2 linked regions of the Stegostoma tigrinum genome follow. The protein of the gene in region 1 interacts with the protein of each later gene in a pairwise test. Links are inferred from orthologs where the notes say so. Each region holds a gene or a part of one and is shown on either strand. Other genes may lie near its edges.

Region 1 (7,052 bases):
GTTTGCTTCCTTAAACTTCATTCCCTTGGTCTCAAGGAAAGATGTACATTTAATTGACATACTAACTGGTACAGGCATATACCAGTAATCCTAACTGTGGAAAGATCTTTTTCTTCCTCTCTTTGGAGATACACTTTCATTTTACAGACATCTTTCTACATGCTGATAATAAGCAACACCTTCTGTTACAATGTTTGCTCTTAAACTGATAAAGAAAGACTAAAAACCATGGATTCAAGACTGAAGCTTGAGGTGTTGGGATTGTATTCATTAGACATTAGGGTTTAGAAGGTTGAGGGGAGATCTAATAGAAACTTACAAGATAATGTATGGCTTAGAAAGGGTGGACGCTGGAAGTTGTTTCCGTTAGGCAGAGAGGCTAGGACCCATGGGCACAGCCTTAGAATTAGAGGGGGTAAATTTAAAATGGAAATGAGGAGATATTTCTTCAGCCAGAGAGTGGTGGGCTTGTGGAATTCATTGCCACAGATTGCAGTGGAGGCCGGGACGTTAGATGCCTTCAAGGCAGAGATCGATAAATTCTTGATCTCACAAGGAATCAAGGGCTACCGGGAGAGTGCAGGGAAGTGGAGTTGAAATGCCCATCAGCCATGATTTAAATGGCGGAGTGGACTCGATGGGCCAAATGGCCTTACTTCCACTCCTATGTCTTATGGTCTTATGTTTCACTGTTAAAATGGCAAATTTGTTTGTAATTCACAAAGGAGTCAATTTTGTTGACCGATTATGTTGGAAGAGTTCAGCATTTTGGTATCAGTCCCATCACACTGCCATGTTGGTAGCCGTAATGACCTCCAAAACAATGAAGCATCTTGACATATCTGGCTGTATGTTTGCTTCTTAGCTTAATAGCTTTTGTTTGACTCAGATAAAGAAAGGCATGTCTCAGTTAATGAGACACCCTTGAGACTGTGACCTTGATGGGTTGTCTTCTATCCCTGAGAAGGAATAGACTTGAGTAGAGAGATGTTTTGACTTTAATTTAGACTAAATTGGAACTTATAGTCTCTAAACCTAATTGGAAAATTTAGTGGAGTGAGTGTTTATGTGAGATTAAGGTTGATAAAGATAATTTATCTGAAAATCTTTGACGCCAACAGCAAGTAGTAGATACCTGATTAAAAAAAAAATCAAAGGCTTAAGGGAGAGTTGTCTCTATCATAGCTTTCCATGCTTGCTCAATTCAAAGATGTTATAGAAAGAAAGTCAAGTGACCTGTAAGGTATTATGTTTCTTGCTATGTACTAAGTAAAGTCCTCTGATCTGAATCCTATTCTTTTTGGCTAAGTCCAAGTTACATTGAGTTCTTCGCTCACCTGTGCTCTCACCTCTCAGCTTGCACCCCACCAATCCTGAATGACTTCTCTTCATCCATTGCAGCACTCCCAGTAAAACTGTGGTCAGTGCCATTCATTGCACAGTACTTCTAATCACTGGTTATGACACCTTCTCTCTCTTATGTTTTGCAGGTACCACCCAGCATGTCCATAACTCCTGGACCTCTGAGAAACGAGTACCAAGGCCTCAAAAGAAGCATCAGCAACGTGCTTTAAGCATCCCACATGAGCTCAGTTACTGACACCTCAGTGGGAATGTAAGGCTTCGTGAGTGTGGGACTACATGCTGGTGGGCATCTCACTGTGGAATATCCACAGCTGGCCAAGCAAGAAATGCCCTAAACACACTGGCACTCAAAGGACATCTTTACCCTGTTCTCTCCAAGAATGCTTGCAGCCATTTTCTTCTCTATTGCAATCATCATTTAGATTTCCTGCACAATGAAAGATGACAATAAGTAATGTTCAACCACTGACTTACAACCACTGTCTCAATGTCAGTGAGTTCCAAACATATAAATTCTCTTCCAGATAGTCTATGAAGTTTACAGGAAGGACTTTGTCCTTCCAGATTCCCACTCAACCCATGTACATGCATCTGCATCTGCCTTCCTTTGCCCCACAGCTCTTGACTAAAAGTGCCAGGCCCCCCACATCTATTGCAGTTAGGGTGCTTCTGACCGTGGACAGACTGCCATTCCACCTGAACCCCTTCCCATTCATATTTTACTGTATACCTCCCATGCAGACTGAGTCGACCTCCTTCACATTGTCATTCCACCTACCCACCAATCTCCCCCACCTCCCCCCAACCCTTCCCCACCTCTACCCCATCCTTCCCCCAGGCAGTAGCTCCCAGTCCTAGAGACAATTTCCCAAGTCTCATTCCTGTGGCATAGCCCCTTTCGTCTTAGAATCTGCACACAGAGTCAATGGACTGGCCATATCCTGATCCTTGAGTGACTCAATTGGACAGCCCAAAACAAAAATTGCCCACACCCCTGACTGACAAATGTACATTTCCCCAGCTGCATTAGCCGTAAACCCAGACTGTCCACTATGGAGTTACAGAACTGACCGTGACACACTCTCTGGACTGCAGAGTCATGGGCTCCTGATCAAGATCACCTGAGCAGATGCCTGACAGTGGTCAATTCCCTTGACAGATATGTGAGGCTACCTACTGTGTTAGGAGCCGTGACTGATGAGTTCGTTGATTGTCTTCATTGAGGACTACTTCTCCAAGGCTTCAAGACATGGCTACTTGCATGTTGGCTGCATAAGCTGTTGGCACATAGTGAAGGCATGAGATTGCTGGAGCACTCTACCATGTAGCACAATATATACCTCTTGATGAGAACTGTGAACTAGCAAAGTAAGCCAGCTGGTTGTGTGATTGTGCTAATTGGGACAGCAAGGCAAGGCATAGCTATTGTGAGCAAGCAGGTAGGCTCTAATTAAGCAAAAGCAAAGAAACCCACCAAGTACCCGGTTCCGTCTGTGAACTGGTTACTTATCCCTGTGCACAAAATGTCCCATCAGCTGTGTTTTAATGCAAATTGCCAGTGTGCTCTGTAATGTAAATCTGTGCTTCCAGCAGAGCATCCTGCCAGTGTATTGGAGAGGTGCCATAATGGTTATGAAGGGTTGGCAAAAACACCGAATGCCATTGTCTAAGAATGAGAGATACATATGGCTGGTGCTTTTGGATCATTCCTGAGCTGCAGTTTGTTCAAATGCAAATTGGAGATTGTTCAGAGTAAGTGGTGAGCTGACTATACCAGATACCCACTCTTGTTTTCACTTTGAGTCTTCTCAAAATTTACTTTGTCCGGTAAGATAGAAAGCTGAAATTTAAGAAAGCAGTTTAACAAGCTGCAATCTCCTTTAATCGGCAACTCTCCACCAGCTCGTGGGAACCTTCTCATGCTACTTGTGAGAAGATGAGCCTCACTGGGCCTCTTGTCTGATTCTGCCAGAAATCTTGCCATTGTCCTTATTGCTTAGACTTTCTTTAAAACTCTGCCCTTTCACGCTGAAGGTGACATTGCTTTCCCTCAGACAGTTGTTGTAGGCTTGAAGGAGGGTTCCCTGCAGTGTTTCAGTATTTGCTGGTGGTCTCCAGAACTGTTGTAATGGTTATTGCACAGCAAAGTAATCCCAAACCCATCTACCTCAGGAAGCATTAGGAAAACAAAACATTCCTTCTTTTGTGAAATAACAGAGACCAGAAAGGTGGAGATCTGTGATTCCATCCTGATAACCTTAAACACAGGTGAAGCATTGATATTTACCAACATCTTTTGAAATATATGCCTTCAACTTCTTAAAGCGTACTTTTAATATTTAAGTAAAAGTTTGCAAATACTTTTTTATGAAATGGTGTTTCTGTCCACAATCACTATTCTTTAACATTCTTCATAATTTACATAATACAACTTTGCCTCAGGTATAAGTTACAATATTAAACAACTCTAAATCTAACAAGAATTTGATTTTGTTTCGACTTAGGGGATCGTTTTCTTGTTTTTACATTCGCGGCCAGAATTACGGCGAACTATGTCATTACCCCTTTAAAAAAATCTGTGAAGCACAAAGTCTACAGTGTACTGGGGTCTGAAAGACGTGTTATGATCGCGGTGCCCAGCTATCTTTAGCCTCATTTTACACGCAGTTTGCTTTTGAAATAGGTCTTGGGACGATATTCTTAGATTGGAAGAATTGCGGAGAAAAAGAAAGAACAAAATTGCACAATTACGGCGATAAAATAACAACTTTGAAGGACATTTTGCAACTTGCAGTGTGTGCAATGGAGAAAGTCCGATTCTTAACCGGAGCGGCTGCCAGACTCTTGTAATCATTAACTTGACAAAAGGAACTCGCAAGGGTATATACGGAGCAGAAGAAGTCAAAGCGGTGGGAAAGCCTTCGGTCGTTTTCAACAAGGAGCGCAACATGCAGGGACCCACTCTCTGGGCTGTGTGCGCCTTCGTCGGCATCTTCAATTTGGGCAAGTACAAAAATGCCTTTCAGTTTGATGCAAACTTTGGGTTGTAACCTGAGGCTGGCCAAGAAAGTCGATAATGTTCCGGCTGTTTGGAGAGGGATGTATGACTGAATTCAAGTAGACTGTGTCAAAATAATTAGAGCCAAAATGATTTGAGGTAGTTTATGTGTTTAAGGTGTGGGATTGTTCGCCAATACGTATCGTGTGAATTGTGAAAAACTCACATTGCTAAACTTTCTGTCCTTTGCCATTGCGTGTATTTTCAACCTTAGCCTGATGTTGCCCGGGACCACTGCATATTCAGGAGGAAAACTGGAGTGAATCAAATTCTGAGAATCTGTAGTAGAAGGAGAAATATATCGCAAATCAATCGGGCGAGTTTTCACTCGATTGCCAGGGATTCGGATGCAGGCTCGCGATTATCATTGGATTGACAGACATCGACTCATTCTACATCTGAAAATCAAGGCGTACCACACGTAATCCACCAAATCGACCAGCAGAGTCTCATTGCATCTTGAATAAAACACGAGGAATTTGGACAAATAGCCATCAGTATTGTTAATCCAAATGTTACTGTTTGACAATGTGGAATCCAAACTATCACTGTCACTAAAGCACTTAAGATTACTACCCCTACCTCTCCCCCCCCCCCCCCCCCGCGCCCGCCAATCCACACACTTCAATTTCCAGTGATCAGCCATTAAGAAATTCCAGGCTGGAGGCGAAAAACTGAATTTTGGCTTTGAAACATCAAGCACAAAAAAAATGTTTTCTAAAAACCATCTTGCGTCTGTGTTCAAAATTCTATAAGCTGCTTGCTACTGTTAGGTTTTGATTAATTCGATGTAAACGCAAATCCATTTGATTAAATTAGATGAAATTTCCACAAAGATTTCAAGGGAAATTTAGTGGAAATGAAAAGTAGACAATCTGTATAATTGGTGACCATTCCACGGTGCCAGTTTCGTGCCCAGGCGGCAGGCAGTATACTTTCTTTCACAACCTGAGGAGAAGCTGACTCGGAGGATTCTGTATGCCTCTGCTGGCCAGTTCTTGCAGATTTGCATCAATACTTCAAATAAGCTTTACAGTTGTCTTTGTTCAATGTATTTTCTTTAACCTGGACAACAACAAATGAATTCTATGCTCGTTCTTCATGATTGTTGCAGAATTCTTTGAAGACCGGAGATCTGATGGATTCGATAGTTGCAGAATTTAAGCATATGTTGAGTCAGATGCAGACGTAGACTATCAAATCTTCAAATCCCCCGGCATTATTTTGCCAGAGAATAAGATGCATATTCACCATTACATTCTAAGACAGTGGCTCCCAAAACGAGGAATATGTACCCCTGTAGGTGCAGCTGATGTCTCTAAGGGGTACTTTGCCCTTATTTGTGTCATTGTGGACTCTCATGGATAGGAGGTTTTCCCACCTTTTACAAGCCTTCCATTCTCTCAGTCAGTTTTCCAAATGCAGCTCACTGTCATTGGTGCTTACGGTGGCACTGCCATACATCAGCCATTTGCTTGCAGTTTCCCACAGTTGCAGGTTCTCTCTTACATATGCTACTAATAGCGACACCAGCGAGGTACAGTTGTGTCTTTTAGTAATACAAGTTGGAGAGAAACAATCTGTGATCAGTAGAGCAGAGATGGTGGTTAAGTGAGTGACAGGGCATGAGTGTATGTGCTGGTGTGGTGGTACTATTGGTAAATGCAAGAGCAGTATCTGTTGGTCCAAATACACTCCAAGTAGGTGAGGTCAGCTGATTTCTGCGTGCACACTGCCAAAGCAGTCAACGTGATCAAACTATTTCAAGTTACAAAGTGAATGGGGTAAGGGAATTTGCCAAATGGGGCTGCTGAATGAGTGGGCAAGAGGAAAGTTTGGGAAGAGGATGTTGAGTAAGTGAGCGTGGGTCTTTGGAAAGTGAGGTTGTTGAGGAGTGAGTGCAGAAAAAATGGGCTGGCAGATGTAGGCGGCTGAACGGCCTCCTCCTGTTACCATTTGGTTTGGTCTAATGGAAGAGTGGCAGCTGTTCATAGGTGTAGGAGATGGAGGTGAGATTCAGACTTAGCCCTAGTCTAGCAGAGATTTAAAAGCACATCATTTAGTCTGATTCGATTTAAAACCCTTCAGTTCATTACAATGCTGCCAAGAATTCAGAATGCAGTGAACGCAGACCCTTATTTATTGTTCAGCAGCCAACTATACACCTTCAGGGACCTTTGTCAGGGCATGGTGGTTGTCTAGAGGTGTGTTTAACCCTAAACACGGTTTCTGAATTTTAATTAAATTATTTAAATAAATATGGAAAAATCTAGGATCAGAATATTGATGCTACTTACTAGCTATAAAATTCCATCGCGCCCAGTTATATCTTTTACAGAAGGAAATTCACTGGTCTGCCAAACCTGGTATACATGTTCAGTATTGTGGTTGACAATTAACTGCCTTCTGAAATGCAAGTCACTCTATTGTCACCACACTCTTCTGGTTGACCAGACTAGATACAGCCTTGCCAGTACTCTGCTAGACTCACAATTAGACTTGCTCAAGCAAAAGCATCACTAAATTGCTGCAGACTTGAACTTTGATTTATTTGATAGTATAATTTACAGCCTACAGGGCCAATGTTAAACTGTTAAACTGGGGCTGAGGTAACTTTTTGGCTTTGCTA
Region 2 (6,974 bases), on another chromosome or scaffold:
CCATGGCAGATAGAGTCACAGAGATGTACAGCACAGAAACAGATCTTTCAGTCCAAATCATCATGCCGACCAAATATTCTAAATTAATCTAACCCCATTTGCCAGTATTTGGCCCATATCCCTCTAAACCCTGATAATAAAATGTGAGGCTGGATGAACACAGCAGGCCAAGCAGCATCTCAGGAGATTTTGTGCTCCTGAGATGCTGCTTGGCCTGCTGTGTTCATCCAGCCTCACATTTTATTATCTTGGAATTCTCCAGCATCTGCAGTTCCCATTATCCCTCCCTCTAAACCCTTCCTGTTCGTATACTCATCCAGATGCCTTTTAAATGTTGTAATTGTACCAGCCTCCACAGCTTCCTCTGGCGGCTGATTCCATTTATGCACCACCCTCTGTGTGAAAAAGTTGCCCCTTAGGTCCCTTTTAAATCTTTCCCCTATCACCTTAAGCCTCTAATTTTTGACTCCCCCACCCCAGGAAAAGACCTTGTATACTTATCCCTATCCATGCTCCTCATGATTTTATAAAGGTCACCCTCAGCCTCTGACACTCCAGGAAAAATAATCTCAGTCTATCCAAACCCTCTTTATAACCCAAACTCTCAAACCCTGCAAAATCATTGTAAATCTTTTCTGAACCTTTCAAGTTTCACAATATCCTTCCTGAAGCATGGAGACCAAAATTGCACACAGTATTCCAGTAGTGGCCTAAACAATCTGCTGTACAGCCGCAACATGACCTCCCAACTCCTATACGCAATGCACTGACCAATAAAGGCGAGCATACCAAATACCTTCTTCACTATCCTGTCTACCTGTGACTCCACTATCAAGGAACAATGAACCTGCAGTCCAAGATCTCTTTGTTCAGCAACACTCCCCAGGATCTAACCATTAAGTGTATACACCCTGGGAGCATTACAGGAGCAGAAAAGTTGATGTTTCAGGCCGGGACCCTTCTTCAAAAACTGCCATCCTTACCTGGTCTGGCCTACATGTGACTACAGGCCCACAAAAATGTGGTTGACTCTTAACTGCTCTCTGGGCAATTAGAGACAGGCAATAAATGGCAGCCTAGCCATATGCTGTGATTGAATAAATAAAACTTGAAAGAAGTCTGTGGTATTCTTCAGATTACTGAAGAAGGATCCTGACCTGAAGCATCAACTTTCCTGCTCCGCTGATACAGCCTGGCCTGCTGTGTCCCTTCAGCTCCACACTGTGTTATCTCTGACTCCAGCATCAGCAGTTCTTACTATCTCTAGGTGTATAAACCCCAGCCTGATGTGCCTTTCCAAAATACAGCATCTCATATTTATCTAAATTAAACTCCATCTGCCACTCCTCAGCCCATTGGCTCATCTAATCATGATCCTGTTGTACTCTGAAGTAATTTCTTCTTTGTTGACTACACCTCAAATTTTGGTGCCATCTGCAAACTTACTTACCATATCTCCTATGTTCACATCCAAATCAGTTATATAAATGACAAAAAGCAATGGACCCAGCACTGATCCTTCTGACACACTGATGGTCACGTATCCAGTCTGAAAAGCAACCCTCCACCATCTCTCTGATGGAACCTGAAATTATGCTTTCGAAGAATTCTGGTATTATGAGTCTAATGATGAGTATTGTCAGTTGTTGGAAAAACCCATCTGGTTCGCTGACGTCCTTTAGGGAAGGAAACTGCCATCCCTACCCTCTCTGGCCTACATGTGACGATAGGTGGTTGACTCTTAACTGCCCTCTGGATAATTAGGCACGGGCAATAAATGCCAGCCTGGCCATATCCTGTGATTGAATATGTAAAACTTGGAAGTAGCCTGTGGTATTAATATTCACTGCAGCTGACAGAGTGGGGATTGTAAAGCAACCAATAATGTCTGCTTGGTGTTGCTGAGCTAAATGAGATTTCAGGGAAAGACAGAAGTAAAGGTTTAGCTCTGTGAAACTAGCTGCCAACAGAAGTACGAGTTATGTCTGTGAATATGCACTGGATTGCAGTTTCTGAGCCTACGTCAGCAAAGACATAGATGGTCGATCAGAACAAAGCCAGACACAGAGAGTGGGTGATGTAATATTTCTTGAGTGGGAATTTCTGCACGAGTAAAAATTTGTAATCTCTAGTGAAGTACAATGAGATTTCATAACCTGCCGTGTCATTGACATTTTGGGGGAAGTTACTGAGAAATCTGTGGGATCTGCTTTGATCATAATTGCTATTCCTTGTGCACCAGGGGGTCGTGCAATCACAGTATATCCCTCATGTTTAACACATGTGTCTAGAGTGCCACAGACCAAGGAGCCTGTGGGCTGTGGCCAGGTGTTGGAATACAGGACAGTTTTGTGATGGATGCAACAGACAACACTTGCCACACAACCTGTTTGCTTTCTGTGAGTTGTCAAACGTCAATACAGTTTGCTACACCTCATGCTTGCAGGTGCTGTTGTCTGGCCACGATGTCGTCATATTTTCTGTCACTAATAGCAATGAACTAATGCTGTTATCTTTTCCAAGAGGTCTCTTTGGAACACTTCAGATCGTGTGGGAGCAGTCTGTTATCTGCTTTCACAATTGCTGATTAGTTATATCTGTTCCCCTTATTCTGATATCCTCTGACAAAATTGATCAACAAATTCATGAGGGTCTTGCCTTTAGGGCATCAATTCAAAGCAATGAATTTTTAACTTGATTCCCACGTACAACTGATCTTCTGGTGCTGTCCATTTTTATGTGGGATCTTTCTAGTCCTTCTCAGATGAACTCCAGGCATTGACTTTGTACAACCCATTACTACCAACTGCAATGAAAATGTTCACATCTGGCCTAACAAATTCTACAGCTACTTTGTCTCTGAGCATTCTTTGATTAAAAGGGTTGAATTTGAAGGAGAGATCCGTGGCTTTCCAGTTTGTGGTGGGGGATTTGGTATTGATTCTTCTGGGGAAATGGACAGTAAAATGACCCTGAACTTCTAGTTGCCTGCCACCTCAATGCACCACCATATTCCCTGGGAAAAAATGTCTATGTGGGGCTGGCTGCAGTGTTCCAGTGAACCTCACTGTAAACTGAAAGAACAACATCTCGTTTTCCAGTTGGGGAACCTTCAGCCTCCAGGCTTCAATAATTTTAAAGTCTGATTCCGTCCTGCCATTCAGGGCATGAGTTGCTTTAGCACAACTCAACCCATTCTCTCACACCCTCAGCTCTCATCTTCACTTATTCAGCTGCTCTTCAGTCCTGGCTTATTATCAGTAATCTCCTCGTCTGCCTATCCCTGTCATATCTCTTTTTCTCCCTGAGCTCCATCTCCAACTATCCACTCATCTCTCTCTGCTCAGCAACCCCCAACAAGTACCACCCACCCCGCTACCCGACCACACCACATTCCCAATCCCCTGCAGTTCTGAGGAATGGTCACCGCACCCGAATTGTTAACTCTGATTTTTTTTCTTCACAGATGCTGCCAGACCTGCTGAGCTTTTCCAACAATTTTCTGTTTGTGTTCCTGATTTACAGCATCCGCATTTCTTTCGGTTTTTATCTAAAGGAGAGGACTAAGTAAATATTCAGTGTAAAAAAAACTGAAATCCCTGATCTGCGGTTCTACATCAGACAAATTGAATAGCTCTTTCAGAGTAACAGAACAAACACCATGGGCCGAACGACCTTCTTTAACTCGAATGCGGGCAGAGCCATTGTAAGGTGAGTTTGAAACTGCACACCTTTCCCCACTCGCATTACTTGAAATATGATCATTTTAAAGCTCTATTGACCTATTTTTTCCAAATCAGGCTGACCAGCGATAATATTACTGGCGGAGTATGTAGGAGTTGAACCGAGGACTCCGCGTCTTAAGTGGGTGGGAGTCTCGCACTATCACTGCGTCACTTTGAAACTTCGTTGATAGTGCTCTGCTCATGTGTTCGGTTTCCACGAATTCTGCTCCATGCTCCGCCCCAGTAACCTTGGGAACAGCCTCGCTGGGCGGATGGTGCACCCAGCATTTAAAGACTGGTTCCGACTTTATCTGCATTCCACATCGTTCATCACTCAGCCGGAGTTCCGTACGCAGCATCAGGAAAATCTCCGGGGCACAAGCTTGTCTATCTGATTGCAAGTTCTGTCGCAGGATCATTTCGGTTTAAGGAAACGCTTCGTCAGCTGTAAGTAGGTCAGCAACTTTTCCGCACTTATCTATCCTGTTTAGGAATTGCGTTCATGTGAGACTGTGGGGAGGGGGCAGATTTTGTAAGGACTGGAACAAAATTGCTGGAAAAGCCCAGCAGGTCCGGCAGCATCTGCGAAAGAAAAACACGAGTTAACGTTTCTAGCATGTCTAAAAACATAGCGATAGAGTCATGCAGCATGGAAACATGCCATTAGGCCACCATGTCTATATCGACTATCAAACACCAAACCAAAGTGATTCTATTTACGTGCATTATTATATAGTATGCCCTGGCATTGTAAATGCTTTTCCAGATGCTTCTTAAATGTGTGGCAGTGTGGATGGATTTTGGAGGCACGTTGACCCATAGAATAGGGAGATATCCTCAAAGGGATGAGAGAGATGGGTGAACTGCCCATCCAATGGATGAAACAGACACAGAAGCAACAGAGACAGTGCCTCTGTAGCCTCTGTCTGTTAGGATCCCAAATTGTGCTCTGGCGTTCAGTTTGTAAGAATTTCTGTTGGAGCAATTTTTATCCAACTTCCTGTTTTTCCTGATAAAAATAAAACAGGTTGCCTGTGCTAGATTCTTGGTAAGGAACTTGCTGGTTGCACTGAGAAGAGAAAGCAATGGAACTGCAGACGATTGCATTGAAATCATTCACGTCAGACTGGCTGACAAAAGAAAGATCTCTCCAGCTCGATCTGAATGGGTACAGCATTTTCCCCCATGACCAAAAGTCAGGGTGACTTAATTTTGCACCTGATATGTTTGAAATCCTTCACATCTAATACAGAAACAAGACTATTCCAGGGATCAAAAGTAAAAACAGTGTTCATTATTTAACCCCCTTAGTTTGTGTAGTATTAAGTTGTAATTGTCATCAGCAAAAATTTTATTGGGACAGCATTGGTTTCATACAATTCAAATGTGTACCTCAGTTAAAAATTTAAAGGAAATATATTTTCCAGAAAATTCTTAGATAGTAGGGAATGGAGGAAACATTGATATTGCACATCCTCTGTCCCTGAAGATTAACTGGTACTCATCCAGAAAGAGCACCATGGATAACAATAACCTGGTCTAATATTGAAGTCTAGCATGATTCCTGTCATATCCCTGCCTACATCAGTGACATAATTATTTGACACAACTAACCAACAACAACTTGTTTAATGTGTCACCTTTAACATAATAAAACTCCTCAAAATTCTTCACAGGAATGAATATAAGTCACATATTTGATATGGAACTATGTAAGATCATATTAGGATAGGTGACCAGATATCCTAGATGGGTATGCAGATTTTGAGATCAGTTTTAAGAGAAAGAATGAAAGGTTTAGGGGCAGAAGTGCAGAATTTAGTCAAATTGAAAGCATGAAATGGGAAGTGATGCAAACTGGGAATGCTCAAGAGGCCAAATTTCGGAAGGTTGCAGGGCTGGAGGAGGTTGCCAAGAAGAGGAGAAATCATGGAGGTATTAGAAAATAAGAATTCAATCTTTGGCTTGCAATTAAGTAATGTACAGTGATTCTCTCTGCCAGCAACATTTTATATATTTATGCTCCTCGGGTGTAATCAAACCTCTTGACAAAAATTTGACTGAGCCAATTGTAGGATCCTGATAAAAATCCAGTGTTCATGTGAAAGATTATGACACATTTACATAGAAACTTGTATTGCGCTTGATCCTGACAGGTTGAAACATGCCAAACTACAAGTTGACCTACTTTAAAATAAGAGGGCGAGCTGAGACTGCTCGTTATATTTTTGCATACAGTGGAATAAACTACCAAGACAACACCATTGACATAATGGATTGGCCTAATATAAAAAAATGTAAGTAGCACACTTTGCAAAGAACATTTGCAAGCTTTGGAAGAATAAATTATTTTCATTTTCCTTTTTTGGTTTTGCCCATTGTCTTGTCAAATCCCATGAATGGAAATTAAATTTGGAAGATGCTGTGCAATTCTGGTCTGCCCTGTATAGAGTGACTTTATATCAGAACTTAAGTTTAAATAGTTGTTTGATATTAGGACTCTGCTTTGATTTAATCAGTTGGTAGGGCCAAAGAGCAGGTAAGTTTTGAACTCTGTGCCAGCTGAACAATTAAAGGGAGATTAATGCTGGGAAACTGAGTTCTTTCCTCACACGATATGCACTCTCTTGCTTTGTTGGTTTACTCCTGGTTTTCAACAAAAATTCCCACTACTAAAGATACATTCTAATACTTCTCATTTGAGAAATCATGAAACTGATACAGGTTAAATTATGAATGCATTGGATAAAGTAGACATGGAGAGTGTTTCACACGTCAGCTCGCATGTAGGGACCCTATACTTAATAACAGTAACAAAGACAGGAGGGAAATAAGGAAAAATTATACTGTAATTGGTTAGAATGTGGAATGCGCATTGCACATTCTGCTGTACTGCACACAAAACAAAACTTTTCTCTGTACTTGGGTACATGGGACAAAAATCAAATCAAATCAAATGTGCGTCAATGGAAAGGTTATAAGATTAATTACTTAGATACTTTCAAAAGAAAACTAGATGTGGGGATGTGATGGCCTCGTGGTATTACCACTAGACCTTTTAATACAAAGACTCAGCTCATGTTGTGGGGACCTGAGTTCAAATCCAGCCATGCCAGATGGTGGAAATTGAAATTTAAAAAATAACTCTGAATTAAGACTCCAATTATGACTATGAAACTGTTGTTGATTGTTGGAAAAAATCCATCTGGTTCACTAATATTCCTTTAGGGAGTGAGATCTTCTAACCTA

The links.
Region 2: the proteins of meltf (region 1) and hematopoietic prostaglandin D synthase-like interact in binary tests that used the Homo sapiens proteins (3 or more experiments, as listed by UniProt). The two-hybrid records come from large-scale screens. The link is inferred for Stegostoma tigrinum from reciprocal best matches to the Homo sapiens genes MELTF and HPGDS.

Annotation. Positions count from the first base shown.
Region 1 is NC_081367.1:52,325,891-52,332,942, forward strand, and holds the start of meltf (melanotransferrin), read left to right. Parts: upstream 1-3,955; 5' UTR 3,956-4,313; coding exon 4,314-4,368; intron 4,369-7,052. UniProt on the Homo sapiens protein: Involved in iron cellular uptake. Seems to be internalized and then recycled back to the cell membrane. Binds a single atom of iron per subunit. Could also bind zinc.
Region 2 is NC_081354.1:7,139,827-7,146,800, forward strand, and holds the start of hematopoietic prostaglandin D synthase-like, read left to right. Parts: upstream 1-3,917; 5' UTR 3,918-4,180; intron 4,181-5,881; 5' UTR 5,882-5,889; coding exon 5,890-6,022; intron 6,023-6,974. UniProt on the Homo sapiens protein: Bifunctional enzyme which catalyzes both the conversion of PGH2 to PGD2, a prostaglandin involved in smooth muscle contraction/relaxation and a potent inhibitor of platelet aggregation, and the conjugation of glutathione with a wide range of aryl halides and organic isothiocyanates.